Danio rerio: one gene and its partners. Each later gene encodes a partner of the first gene's protein in a complex. Links are inferred from orthologs where the notes say so. Each region holds a gene or a part of one and is shown on either strand. Other genes may lie near its edges.

Evidence for each region. The genes of interacting proteins can lie anywhere in the genome.
Region 2: immt (region 1) and apooa share a complex: the UniProt entries of both Homo sapiens proteins name them as parts of the mitochondrial contact site and cristae organizing system (MICOS) complex. The link is inferred for Danio rerio from reciprocal best matches to the Homo sapiens genes IMMT and APOO.
Region 3: immt (region 1) and micos13 share a complex: the UniProt entries of both Homo sapiens proteins name them as parts of the mitochondrial contact site and cristae organizing system (MICOS) complex. The link is inferred for Danio rerio from reciprocal best matches to the Homo sapiens genes IMMT and MICOS13.

What each region holds. Positions count from the first base shown.
Region 1 is NC_133189.1:18,404,871-18,408,438, forward strand, and holds part of immt (MICOS complex subunit MIC60), read left to right. Parts: intron 1-1,526; coding exon 1,527-1,643; intron 1,644-2,887; coding exon 2,888-3,021; intron 3,022-3,568. UniProt on the Homo sapiens protein: Component of the MICOS complex, a large protein complex of the mitochondrial inner membrane that plays crucial roles in the maintenance of crista junctions, inner membrane architecture, and formation of contact sites to the outer membrane.
Region 2 is NC_133180.1:4,984,443-4,988,591, forward strand, and holds the start of apooa (apolipoprotein O, a), read right to left. Parts: upstream 2,853-4,149; 5' UTR 2,801-2,852; coding exon 2,792-2,800; exon of another isoform or gene 2,738-2,791; intron 1,690-2,737; exon of another isoform or gene 1,495-1,689; intron 1-1,494. UniProt on the Homo sapiens protein: Component of the MICOS complex, a large protein complex of the mitochondrial inner membrane that plays crucial roles in the maintenance of crista junctions, inner membrane architecture, and formation of contact sites to the outer membrane.
Region 3 is NC_133197.1:19,398,426-19,402,477, forward strand, and holds the start of micos13 (MICOS complex subunit MIC13), read right to left. Parts: upstream 2,853-4,052; 5' UTR 2,706-2,852; coding exon 2,677-2,705; intron 623-2,676; coding exon 466-622; intron 1-465. Other genes in the region: hsd11b1la (hydroxysteroid 11-beta-dehydrogenase 1-like protein precursor), read left to right, coding at 3,508-3,592. UniProt on the Homo sapiens protein: Component of the MICOS complex, a large protein complex of the mitochondrial inner membrane that plays crucial roles in the maintenance of crista junctions, inner membrane architecture, and formation of contact sites to the outer membrane.

The DNA of each region.
Region 1 (3,568 bases):
AAAAATCTGATAAAACATCTAATTCCAAAACATATAATCAAATTATATTTATTTTAGTTTGCAATTGATTGTTTTACATGATTTATAGACATTGCATACGCAGCGCATGTAATGTATTTTAGTGTCTTTCGAAAAATGACATTTCACCTGCACCCTTACAGTCCTAACATTACATGAGAGTGAGGGGAAATGTTTTGCAACCTGTGCAGTAAACAGCGCAGATGAAGCGCGAGCGATTTACATGTGAAGTCAATACAAAGATGGCATTTGACATTCTGTGGTGCGAATTGGCTTTTTTGTGCATTTGACGGGCTTCAGACTGCAAAAAATTGGAGCAAACATCTAACAAACGGAGCAGTGGAACAGACAGACAAGCAAGTAGGCATGGGAAGATAAGTCAAGTTTCAAAAAGTCAAGGTTTTAAAATCACGAAAGTTATCCGTTATTCCCATGGTATATGTAAGGTCTTTTTAAACATGTTTTTCACAACTATTTCAATTAAGTTTTTTTTCTCCAGCAGAAAAACATCTACATCAATAAAACTCTACATCAAATAAACTCTACATCAAAATATACTGGTCTAAAATATTTGAAATGTTTCTTAAAATAAAATATATTGTGTTCAGTAGGGGGAAAAAAGTTTTTTTTTCTTTACCCCGACATTTAAAAGATCTTATTTTAGAGCAGAAATCACAATACATTGATACCGTGAAACCGTGATATTTTTATCCAAGGTTATCATACTGTCAGAAATTTATACCGGCTCATGCCTACAAGCAAGCAGCTTACAATGATGGAGGTTAACGAAAACGATTTTTTGCCATTGACTAGTTTTATGGCAATCCGTGTTTTAGGTGTATTACGGTAGGGGAAGATATAATAATGCATGTCCTGAGTGAGGTACATGATGTCAAATGCTCCAGGGAGTGGAATCTGAGAAAAAGTAAGATTGTGGATAAAAATAAGAGTTATGCAACCTTTGTTTGGCTTAATCCTTACTGTTTTAGATCTTGTCTTGACAAGAGACCAAAAAAGAAGCTTTATTTTTATGATTTGTGTCATATAGCACACTTAACATAGTAGGCTACCTAATATGGTAAATAATATGGATACCATTTTTTATACTTGTATATATTTTTTTACTTGCAAAATTGTCCACAAATTTCTGTGAATCACCACCACAAAATCAAAAAATTTAGAGCAGAAAATTTTACAAAAAAATAATGAAAAAGTAGGGGGTCTGCTTTATGTCATGAGTTTATTTTTCCCTTTTTTTGCTGATTTATTTTTAAAAATCTGATTATTTGAGCCATTTGTTCACAGATCATTTGACTATATTCATGTTTTATGTCTTTATTGCATGCATGATGAAGACACTAAATAGTTTCATCTACATTGTTTAACATCACCCAGTTTTATCATTTCCCCCCCATCTCATATGGTGTACTGCAAAGCTCAAAGAAAATGTGATGATTACCAATGTGCTGGAGTGACTCTTTGTGCTTTGTTTTCGTCTGTGTGTGTAGCTGAAGAGTGTTGTAAGGAATGCACTGAACCTGAACCGGCTGTGAAGGAAAGGCCAGCGGAGGAAGTGACCGCTAGACTGGCTCAACAGGATAAAGCTGAGCTGGATGCGCTGGCAGGTCAATATCCTCACAAATTACACACTGACACATGCATGAGTCTCTATTTTTTATTTATTTTAGTGCTGGGCAAAAATTACTAGTGATTAATCGCATTCAAAATAAATGTTTGTTTGGACATAAGATGTGTATTGACCTTATTCTAAAATGCGGAAGTGCGCCTGTTTTCGTGATTGTCTTAGAACTTCCGTTTCAGTCGCCTATGGGAGAAATGACAAGGAATAATAAACGGCAAAAAACGGTCAAACTACTTGCTCTACAAACAAATGTTTGCATGACTATACAGACCAAGTAGAATAATTTAACAAGGAAATATCAGTTTGCAACATCAAACAGCGAAACAAGCAGTTTTTAATGTCTAAAAATGAATGGAAGTGAATAAGACCGGAAGTCTCGTGCCAAAAAGATTCAAATGGCAGCGCCCGCTCGTCTGCGGAGAATAAGGTCAATAAGATGTATATAAAGACTAAATGAAAATTTTCTCATGTGCATGCATGTGTGTATTTATAAATACATAGTGAATAAACATCATACACACACAAATTGTCATAATAAACTTTTATTTTGATGAGATTAATAACAATGAATTTTTGCTGTATACATTTTTTTTGTGTGAAAATCGTATTGACCTTACTTTTAAAACTTCAGATTCAGTTGCCTATGGGAGAAATGACTAAGAATAAAAAACAGGTGTTTGCATGATTATACAGACAAAGCAGAATAATATAATAGGACAATATCAGTTTGCAACATCAAGCAGCATAACGAGCTGTGTTTAACATCTAAATATGAATGGAAGTGAATGAGATCGGAATTCACAAGCCAAAAATTTCAAATGGCTGCGCCCGCTAATACATAAAGAATAAGTTGAATTGGACATTCCATCTGACTTCAGTGGTTCAACTCTGTTTGTACTGTCTTGGATTTCATCTAAAATATTGCAGTTTTTGCTTTGAATATGAAGAATGGTCTTAGGGGTGGATTGAAACAACATGATGTTGTGAAAAATACCTGACTTTTCATTTATGGGTTAACTAATCTTTTAACAAGTAATTAAATTAAACGGTTCTAATTTGGTAAATAATTGTTTTGTAATGAAATATAGATATATACAGTCTTTTCTGTCAATTTTAAACCGATTAATGCATGTTAAAGTATAAAGGTTTTGGCTTCAAAAAAAATAACAAACCTAAACCTGAATGGTAGAGTATATTGATATAAGTGAGTGTTGGTGTGTTTCTCAGCTCTCACTGCTGGACTGGAAGAAACTCTCGGCAGCTCAGCTAAAGTCACCCTGCAGGCCATCGGAGCTCAGGAGGCTGCGCTGACCGCCATCGCTGCTCACACAGACAAACTCAGAGAAGCCATGGACTCAGAGGTGAACACACTCACACAGTCATTTGAAGCATTTACAAATGGTGTCTGCTAATTGTTATTGCAGAATAAGCTGCCTGAAGTGAAGCAGAAGGCTGTTTTATAAGCCTGAATGGTTTATACAACCACCTGAATGTACTTTATCCTGCTTTTACAGGGCTACTTGCCACAAAATTAAAAAAATTAGACACAAAATATTGTTCTGATGTGTAATAGTTTATTATTTATCAATTAAATGCAAAGCTGACAGAAAAAAAAATATATCTGTAGCACAAACTAACCTATGTATTATTCAGCCCCGAACCATCTAGTCAAAAACAGCAAAATGACAGACAATATATATAAATCTGGATCTAAATGTATTCACTGGCGGTCAAGATGATTCAAAGTACCAGATTGAGAATTCGTTATTAGTGTTAATGGTTGTTGTCTGGGAATAACATACCTTGGAATGTTGTTACTGACCAATCAGAATCAAGTGTTTTAGAGAGCACTGTGATAACATTTTATGACATTAAATGTCAAATGTAGCTAGACTATTTTCTGCTGGG
Region 2 (4,149 bases), on another chromosome or scaffold:
AAAAGTAAAAACAAAAGTAATGATGATGATAATAATAACAATAATAATAATAATGAAACTTTTACAAATTTATAAAATTATTAAAAATAAAAAGTAAATGCAAAAGTAATGATAATAATAATAATAATAATAATAATAATGAAATAAAAAAATATATTGTGTGAAATTATAAAAAAACAAGAATGATAATGAAAGTTAATATATATATTTTAGGAAATTATTAAAATAAAAAAGGAAATACAACAATAATAATAATAATGAAAGTTTAAAAAATATTTTATTAAATTATTAAAAAACAATAATAATGATGATGATAATAATGGAAGTTTAAATATATATTTTAGGAAAGTATTAAAAATAAAAAGGAAATACAACAACAACAATAATAATAATAATAAAGTTTTGAAAATAATTTTATATTTTTTTTTCAAATAAAAGGCAAATACAGTAATAATAATAATAATCATGAACGTTTTAAAAAATAATTTTATGAAACTATTAAAAATAAAAAAGTAACTACTAATTATTTTGCTAAAATAATAAAAAAATCGTAGATAAATGTTAAAATTGAAATGTTGCCATGGCAACAAAATAATAATAATAACAATAGTAATAATAAATAACAACAACAATAATAAAAGTTGAAGTATTACAATTAAAACTACAAAATGTAAACAAGCTAAACACAAAAGAAGAGCATATACTATTATAAAAATTAAATGTTAAATGATATAAACGTCTAAAATTCTGAAAACAATACAAACAGATGATGCACAACATTTTGGATCCAATTCGAATGTTGACTATTTATCCTCTACTTGACAAAAGTCTTGTCGTCTATAGTTGATCATTTGGTATCAGAAGTGTCATAAGAAAAGCAAAAGCCTCTAGATGACGCTTATTTCACTACAATAAAATATGATCCTGCCTTGATTATGAATGATTTCATTAGGACAGTAAGGTCTGACTTTGCTCAGACAAAAGTCTCATCACTGAACAGAAATAATGTCCAGTATAGAATATAAAGTCCTGCTGCAGTGGAGACAGAATGAATATTGTGTCTGACTCCATCATGAGCTTGGAGGACTGCATCCATACATCTCTGACATGACTCAAATCACTGATTAATAAAGTCATCTGGAATGAAGAAGAAAGCGTTCCTGCAGGACTCCCAGAGCTCATCAAGACTCTTTGTGTTCATCTTCAACGCCTCCTCCTTCATCTACCCCAGACATGCTCAATAATGTTCATGTCTGGTGACTGGGCTGGCCAATCCTGGAGCACCTTGACCTTCTTTGCTTTCAGGAGCTTTGATGTGGAGGCTGAAGTATGAGGAGCGCTATCCTGCTGGAGAATTTGCCCTCTACTGTGGTTTGTAATGTGATGGGCAGCACAAATGTCTTGATAACTCAGGCTGTTGATGTTGATCATCCACTCTGCAGATCTCTCACACGCCCCCATACTGAATATAACCCAAACCATGACTTTTCCTTCACCAAATTTGAGCTGGGCTCCATGCAGGTTCCAGTAGTTCTTTCTCTAGTATTAGTGATGATTGGGATGCAGCTCAACAGATAATTCATCCGGAAAATCCACCTTATGCCACTTTTATAAATGATCAACTAGAAGTCAAGTTATTATTAGTTGCTCTTACTGTACAACTGGAATCAACGACAAGACTTTTGTCAGGTAGTGTAAATAATGATATATTTATTGATACATTTGCATATATGTATAGTCAACATTCGAGGTGGATCAATAATGTTTTTCAAAATTTTCCTAAGACAAGAACTATTTCTAATACTTTATAAAGGAATTTTGACATTTTTAACGAATTTATAAGTTAAAAAAATCATTATTTAGGGGTGGCGTGGTGGCGCAGTGGATAGCACGATCGCCTCACAGCAAGAGAGTCGCTGGTTCCAGCCTCGGCTTGGCCATATGGCATATGTGTTTGGAGTTTGCATGTTTGGAGTTTGCATCCGGGTGCTTCCCCCACAGTCCAACCATATGCACTATAGGTGAATTGGAAAGGCTAAACTGTCTGTAGTGTATGTGTGTGAATGGGAGTGCATGCGTTTTTCCCAGTGATGGGTTGCAGCTGGAAGGGCATCTGCTGCATAAAACATGGATAAGTTGGCGGTTCATTCCGCTGTGGCGACCCCTGATTAATAAAGGGACTAAGCCGTAAAGAAAATGAATGAATCAATCAATGTTTAGGTTGTCTGTAGGATTTCACGGTGTTTTGTTGCCATCTAGTGTTCAGTTTTAAAAACGCACCTGAGCGCTGACGTGCCGCCACTCAACGGTTATCAAAAACGTGAATTAATTTAAATAATAAACACTATAACGTTTAAATAACAGCGGTTTTACTAACTTTAAATCAATCCTATGTTTTTATTATAGGCACTGGCACATTTAATAAAGCCAAAACAGAGTTTGACAATAACTGCCGGTACAATAATCGCATTAAATACAACCGCGCTCATTAATTTACGCTTTTAATATACAACGAGTCCACTCTATAGGCCTAGAGACCTCTGAAATATTACACAGCATCATATTTTAAATCACAGAAGTAAAATAATGAACGTAATTTAATATGTTCTGCAGTGTCCTTGTGTTTCCTGCTCAAAAATAAACGCTCCGCTTTATAATGGAACCAACTAAAGTTTCTGTAGGTGTGTATTTAAGGCTGAATTGAGCGCGATTGTGATTATTATGTGTGTTTTAGCAGGACTGCGGTGACGAAGGAGAACTGTGCGCCTCTGCTGAAGTTTGTATCTCTCACCTTGTACATTTTCTCCAGCCTTCAGGATTCTTCTTCTTCGCTTCTGAGCGGCTGCGGTCAGACGGTAATGCGCATGCGCCACCTACAGTTCATGTGGGGTAAGTCTAGAAGGGATACAGTTGAGGATAAGCACATCAATACAGCATAATTTTTGAGACTATTATTATTTTTACATTACTGTGGAGGTTAGATTAAGGGTTAAAGTCGGGGTAGACGTCAATAAACTATAGGTAACACTTTACAATAACAGTACATGGATAATGATGTATTAATATGTAAAATAAACATTACTTTATTATGAATTAATGATGAGTTAAGGTATGCACTAATCATGAATTAACTTTAACTACAACATGATTCACATGAGTTCATGTGTGAATAATGGCTATCTTAATTACTTGTTAGTTCATGATTGTTTGTTAATTAATGTATTAATTACCACATTAGTTTATGCTTAATTCAACCATGATGAACTCATGATATGTTAATGTATAATTATGTTGTGACTTTACTTGGAGGGGCACATCATCATTAACAGATTCTTAACTACTCATGAAGTCCTTATGCACGTCAAACTAGTGAGTTTACACTGAATAACAATAGAAAAGTGTTCTGTCAACATCAACAGGAGATCATGAGTAGTTAAGGATGAGTTAATAGTGATGTGCCCCTCCAAGTAAAGCCATGACATAACTATACAATAACAGCTCATGAGTTCATGTGGGTTACATTTAACCTAAACTTAAATGTTAATTAATACATTAATTAACAACATGTACTAACAAGTAATTAAGGTAGCCGTTATTTACACATGAACTCATGTGAATCATGTTGTACTTAAAGTTAATTCATGATTAGTGCATACCTTAACTCATCATTAATTCATAATAAAGTAATGTTTAGTTTACATATGAATACATCATTATTCATGTACTGTTATTGTAAAGTGTTACCAAACTATAATTAATGGGTAATTTAATAAATAATATGAATAATTCTCTGTATAATGACTGTTTTAGGTTACTGTGATGGTTGGGATCAAGGTAGATGTTAATAAAGTATAATTAATGGGTAATTTAATAAATAATACTCTGTATAATTACTGTTTTTACATTACTTTGATGGTTGGGTTTATTATTAGGGTCGGGGTAGACGTTAATAAAGTGTAATTAATGGGTAATTTAATAAATAATATCAATAATACCCAGTATAGTTACTGTTTTTACATTATTGTGGAGGTTAGGTTTAGGATTGGGGTCGGTGTAGACCTTAATAAACTATAACTAATGTGTAATTTAATAAATAATATGAATAACACTCAGTATAATTACTGTTTTAGGGTACTGTGATGGTTGGGT
Region 3 (4,052 bases), on another chromosome or scaffold:
GAAAGCATACAAAAGCATGGACGCAGTCTACATACTTGATATATACAGTCTACATACATATGCAAACATTTGTTTGCAGAACAATTGATGTTCTGATAGCGATTCCTATGTAGGAGAATCACTTCCTGCCCTCCATCTGAGTCTAGCGCGTCAACAATGAAAACCATGAAACTGTGATTCATTTGTGTGTAAATGTTTCATCCTTAGTTTATGAAATGCTCTTTTTTTAAAATCTGAAATCGTGAGTTTTGTGTGAAGGTGTTGCGATGCATTTTAATACCATATGTAAACAGTCTTCTGTGCATCAAGACTATTTAATTACCCAAAAGACTTCCCCGCTATCTCTCTTTTTATTCAATAATGTCAGTGCTGCCATCTGCCATATACTGTAGCCTTACACTTCATCAAAAAGTCAAGTTCTACTTTCGTTATCAATCATACACTTAGTTTCATTTCTTTTCATACCTCGAAGCCAAAGTACTTCATCCACTCATCCACAGCAGGTGGTATGGCTGATTTAGCTCGGGCCAAGGCCACAGATCCCTCATTACTACCTCCAAGAAGTCCTGAATCATATGCCACATACAGGGCTCCTCCCGCAATGGTCACTTTTGTTGCAAACCTAAAACATAAAGAAACACAAATACAATGAGGTAAAGTTGGTTTTATATTTGCACATTCCTTTATTTAACTGTTTCTATTGCTTTCCATGCTAATTTGAATATTAGGTCAGAATTAGCATGGAAGTATGACTTCAAAACAACATTAGCACCATCAAATTTACTGTAAACAATGCTGTACTTTGATAATCATTGGCTGCTAAATTAAATCCATATCCATTTTTTAACTAAAAAAAAAAAAAAACAATTAAAATTCATTATTCTCATGTAGGCGGTGCTAAAATGTCCATTTTCCTCTGATTGGTCAACCAAATCTGAGCTTGTGACGTAGCCCCCAAAATAAGAGCCCTCTGAGGACAATACCCAGGCTTTGAATTATTAATATTTAGTTATATGTATATAATTATATAAACTAAGTTTACATATTCTGTCATTTGATCAGTTATCAGGCTTACATTCATTGCCTCTTTAACGCACACGATGTAAATCTCTGACAAGGTGCCTTTATTTAGCCTGTAGCCTATATAACAGTTTAGATTTGTTTTACAGATAATGTTCTATTACTTTAAATGTTCTTATTTATAGTTTATATAAAATCTTAATATATTATAGTTATTGATGTCATTCGTCTTATTCTTCAGTAGATCTGTAAATAATGTATTTTATAAAATGATCGTTTATAAGAACCAAGTTATTAATAAGTGTAATTCTCCAAATAAAAGTCTTGATTAGTCATGTCGTTTTAAAGATTTTCTACAATTTAAGCAGAAATAGGTTAAACAGAACTTAATTTGGCATAGTGCTCTCTGTGGGCATCACGTGCTAAAATGATTATTATTAATAATAACAATAATAATTATATTATTTAAGCCTACAGTAGCTCTGAAACAATCATGGAAACCAGGTGCTGCTCACAGATGTATATCTTTGCTCAGCATCAGGTGTACAGCAGCAATAAGTTTGGCAGTGAACTATAAACATAAATTATTATTAATAATAACATTATTATTATTATTACTGTCAAGGCCTTGCTCGGAAACAATCATGCAAACCAGGTGCTACTCGGAAATGGCTATCTTTGCTCAGCATCAGGTGCACAGCTTGACAGCGTGCACAGCAACAATGTTTGGCAGCGAACTATGACCTTATTTTATTGACAAAAGTCTAATAATACTGCTAATTTACGTTTTTATTTAATTTATGCATACGCAATGAATGTAAGCCTCATAACTGATCAAATGACAGAATATGTAAACTTTGTAATTATATAAATAGTATAGTTATTATTTATATACACACACACACATACATATACATATATATATATATATATATATATATATATATATATATATATATATATAAAATGATTAAAAGTTATTATTAAAATCATGTTTTTTTGTAATCAAAAGAAACACCGAAAAACGGCCGTTTTCTTAACTTTTTTTTTTTTTTTTGGACGCAAGATATCCTAATTCTGCTAGTATGATTTCCCCATTTAAAATTTGCAAAGATAATTATATTATCGAGGAGAATGTCTAAATATAAAACCAACTTTACCTCTATTATTTTGAAGGTTCTGTCTGAAATCATATGCAAGTATGACTCGAAAACAACATTAGCACTATTTATTTGACTGGAAACAACTTTACCTTCATCACAAATACAGCCATTCAAAGTACGTTAAAGCTGAAGGAAAGAGAGCATGTTTACAAGCTTCTCAGGTTATTATGACCCCAAATATATGATGATTACTTAAAATATATATGATTAACTCTAATACAAAACAGGATTTAACATTTTTACTGTCAAAGTTATTGCTGAATTGAGTAATTAGCATGCTAGCTATATTTAAACGACATTATAGGTAAAAATAGCAACTAAAATACGAGGTAATTTAATTTTAATGTAAATACAGATATATATATATAATATAATTATATAAAGTATAATAATGTATAAAGTATAAAAAAAACACTTAAACCCAAACAGACACTTGTGTGCTAACTTAGTTAGCAACCAGCTTCAGATACAAAAACAACACATAAACACTTACTTGACGACAGGGAAAATCTTAGCAGCCATATTTTAAAAGCAAAATTATGCTCTAAAGAACAATATTTCGTATCAAAACACTTCACAGGATGCTTTGTTTTACTATTTTGTCAGCGAGTTTCACCGACAAGGGCATTTGCTCTAGCAAACCGAAATGGTAGCAATAAAGTTCGTTTTGAATCCAGCTGTAGATCTGCACATTCGACAAAACGAACGACGAACATATAAAACGTAATAATTATATGTTTGAGTATTTTTGAACATATGAATATTCTATATATATAAGCATTAAAAGTAGAAGGGTGTTACTTTAAAAGACAATTCGGTTTTATATATTTGGTGAAAGTGCCGCCACGTTTTTCCTGTGGCTCAGATCGATTGACTAATTTTAAAATCACGTTTTTTTAGATTGTATGTGTAATATTAATTAAAAAAGAATCTTTAGCAGAGTCGCCAACGATAATAAAAGTAAGTTTAAAAAAGTAAAAAGTAAGCCTAAGTGAATAATAATTATGTTTTTATCCTTACTTTCGGTTTGTATTTCATAGTCTGTCAGGTCGTTCCGAATTTATAAACCCAACCACAATATTAACGTTATAATGCAAATAAAACAAGAATGACTGATTATTACAACACAATATTAACAGAAGTTACAAAATGCATTAAGTGCTAGCTGCCAAGTTATCTAAAGCCGGATTGTACTTTGGCACTAGCTCCGCCTGTCTGAACTTAGATTTAAAAACCTGTTCTGCCTGTTCTCTTGGTGTCGACTGCTGACTTTACAAAGTTGTGCATTTTGTAAGCTGTGCACAGATTTGCCATATTCCTTCAAATGAAGCTTTATGCCAAATTACTGCTTTGCAGCATATGCGTCGCGTTCATTGCGGTCCGATGGAGTGCTCCATCATTTAATGAGGGTGAGTTTAACAGCCTTTATGTTTATCTACGTGCTGTAAAATGTATTCTATTGTCTGTAAATTGATAAGTGATATGTCTTTACAGCTATTTAGAAAGTAGTCTATGCTACAAAGTGGTGGGAAAGCTTGTGGAAAGATTTGTGGACCCAAAAAACTAATATAGCCTATCTACACTCTCAGAAGGTAGGCCTCCAAAGGCTGTCACTGGGGTGGTACCTTTTCAAAAGGTACAAATTTGTGCTTAAATGTATATATTAATACCTTAAGGGTACACATTACTAAAAAGTACAAAAGTGTTCCTAATATAATATAATCTTTTTAGGTACCAATATGGAGCCTTTAAGTTAGAATCTGTACCTTTTGAAAAGGTACCACCCCAGTGACAGCATGCATACCTTTATTTCTGAGAGTGTAATAAATGTATTTATCTACGTGTTAACATTACGTGTTCACATTATTT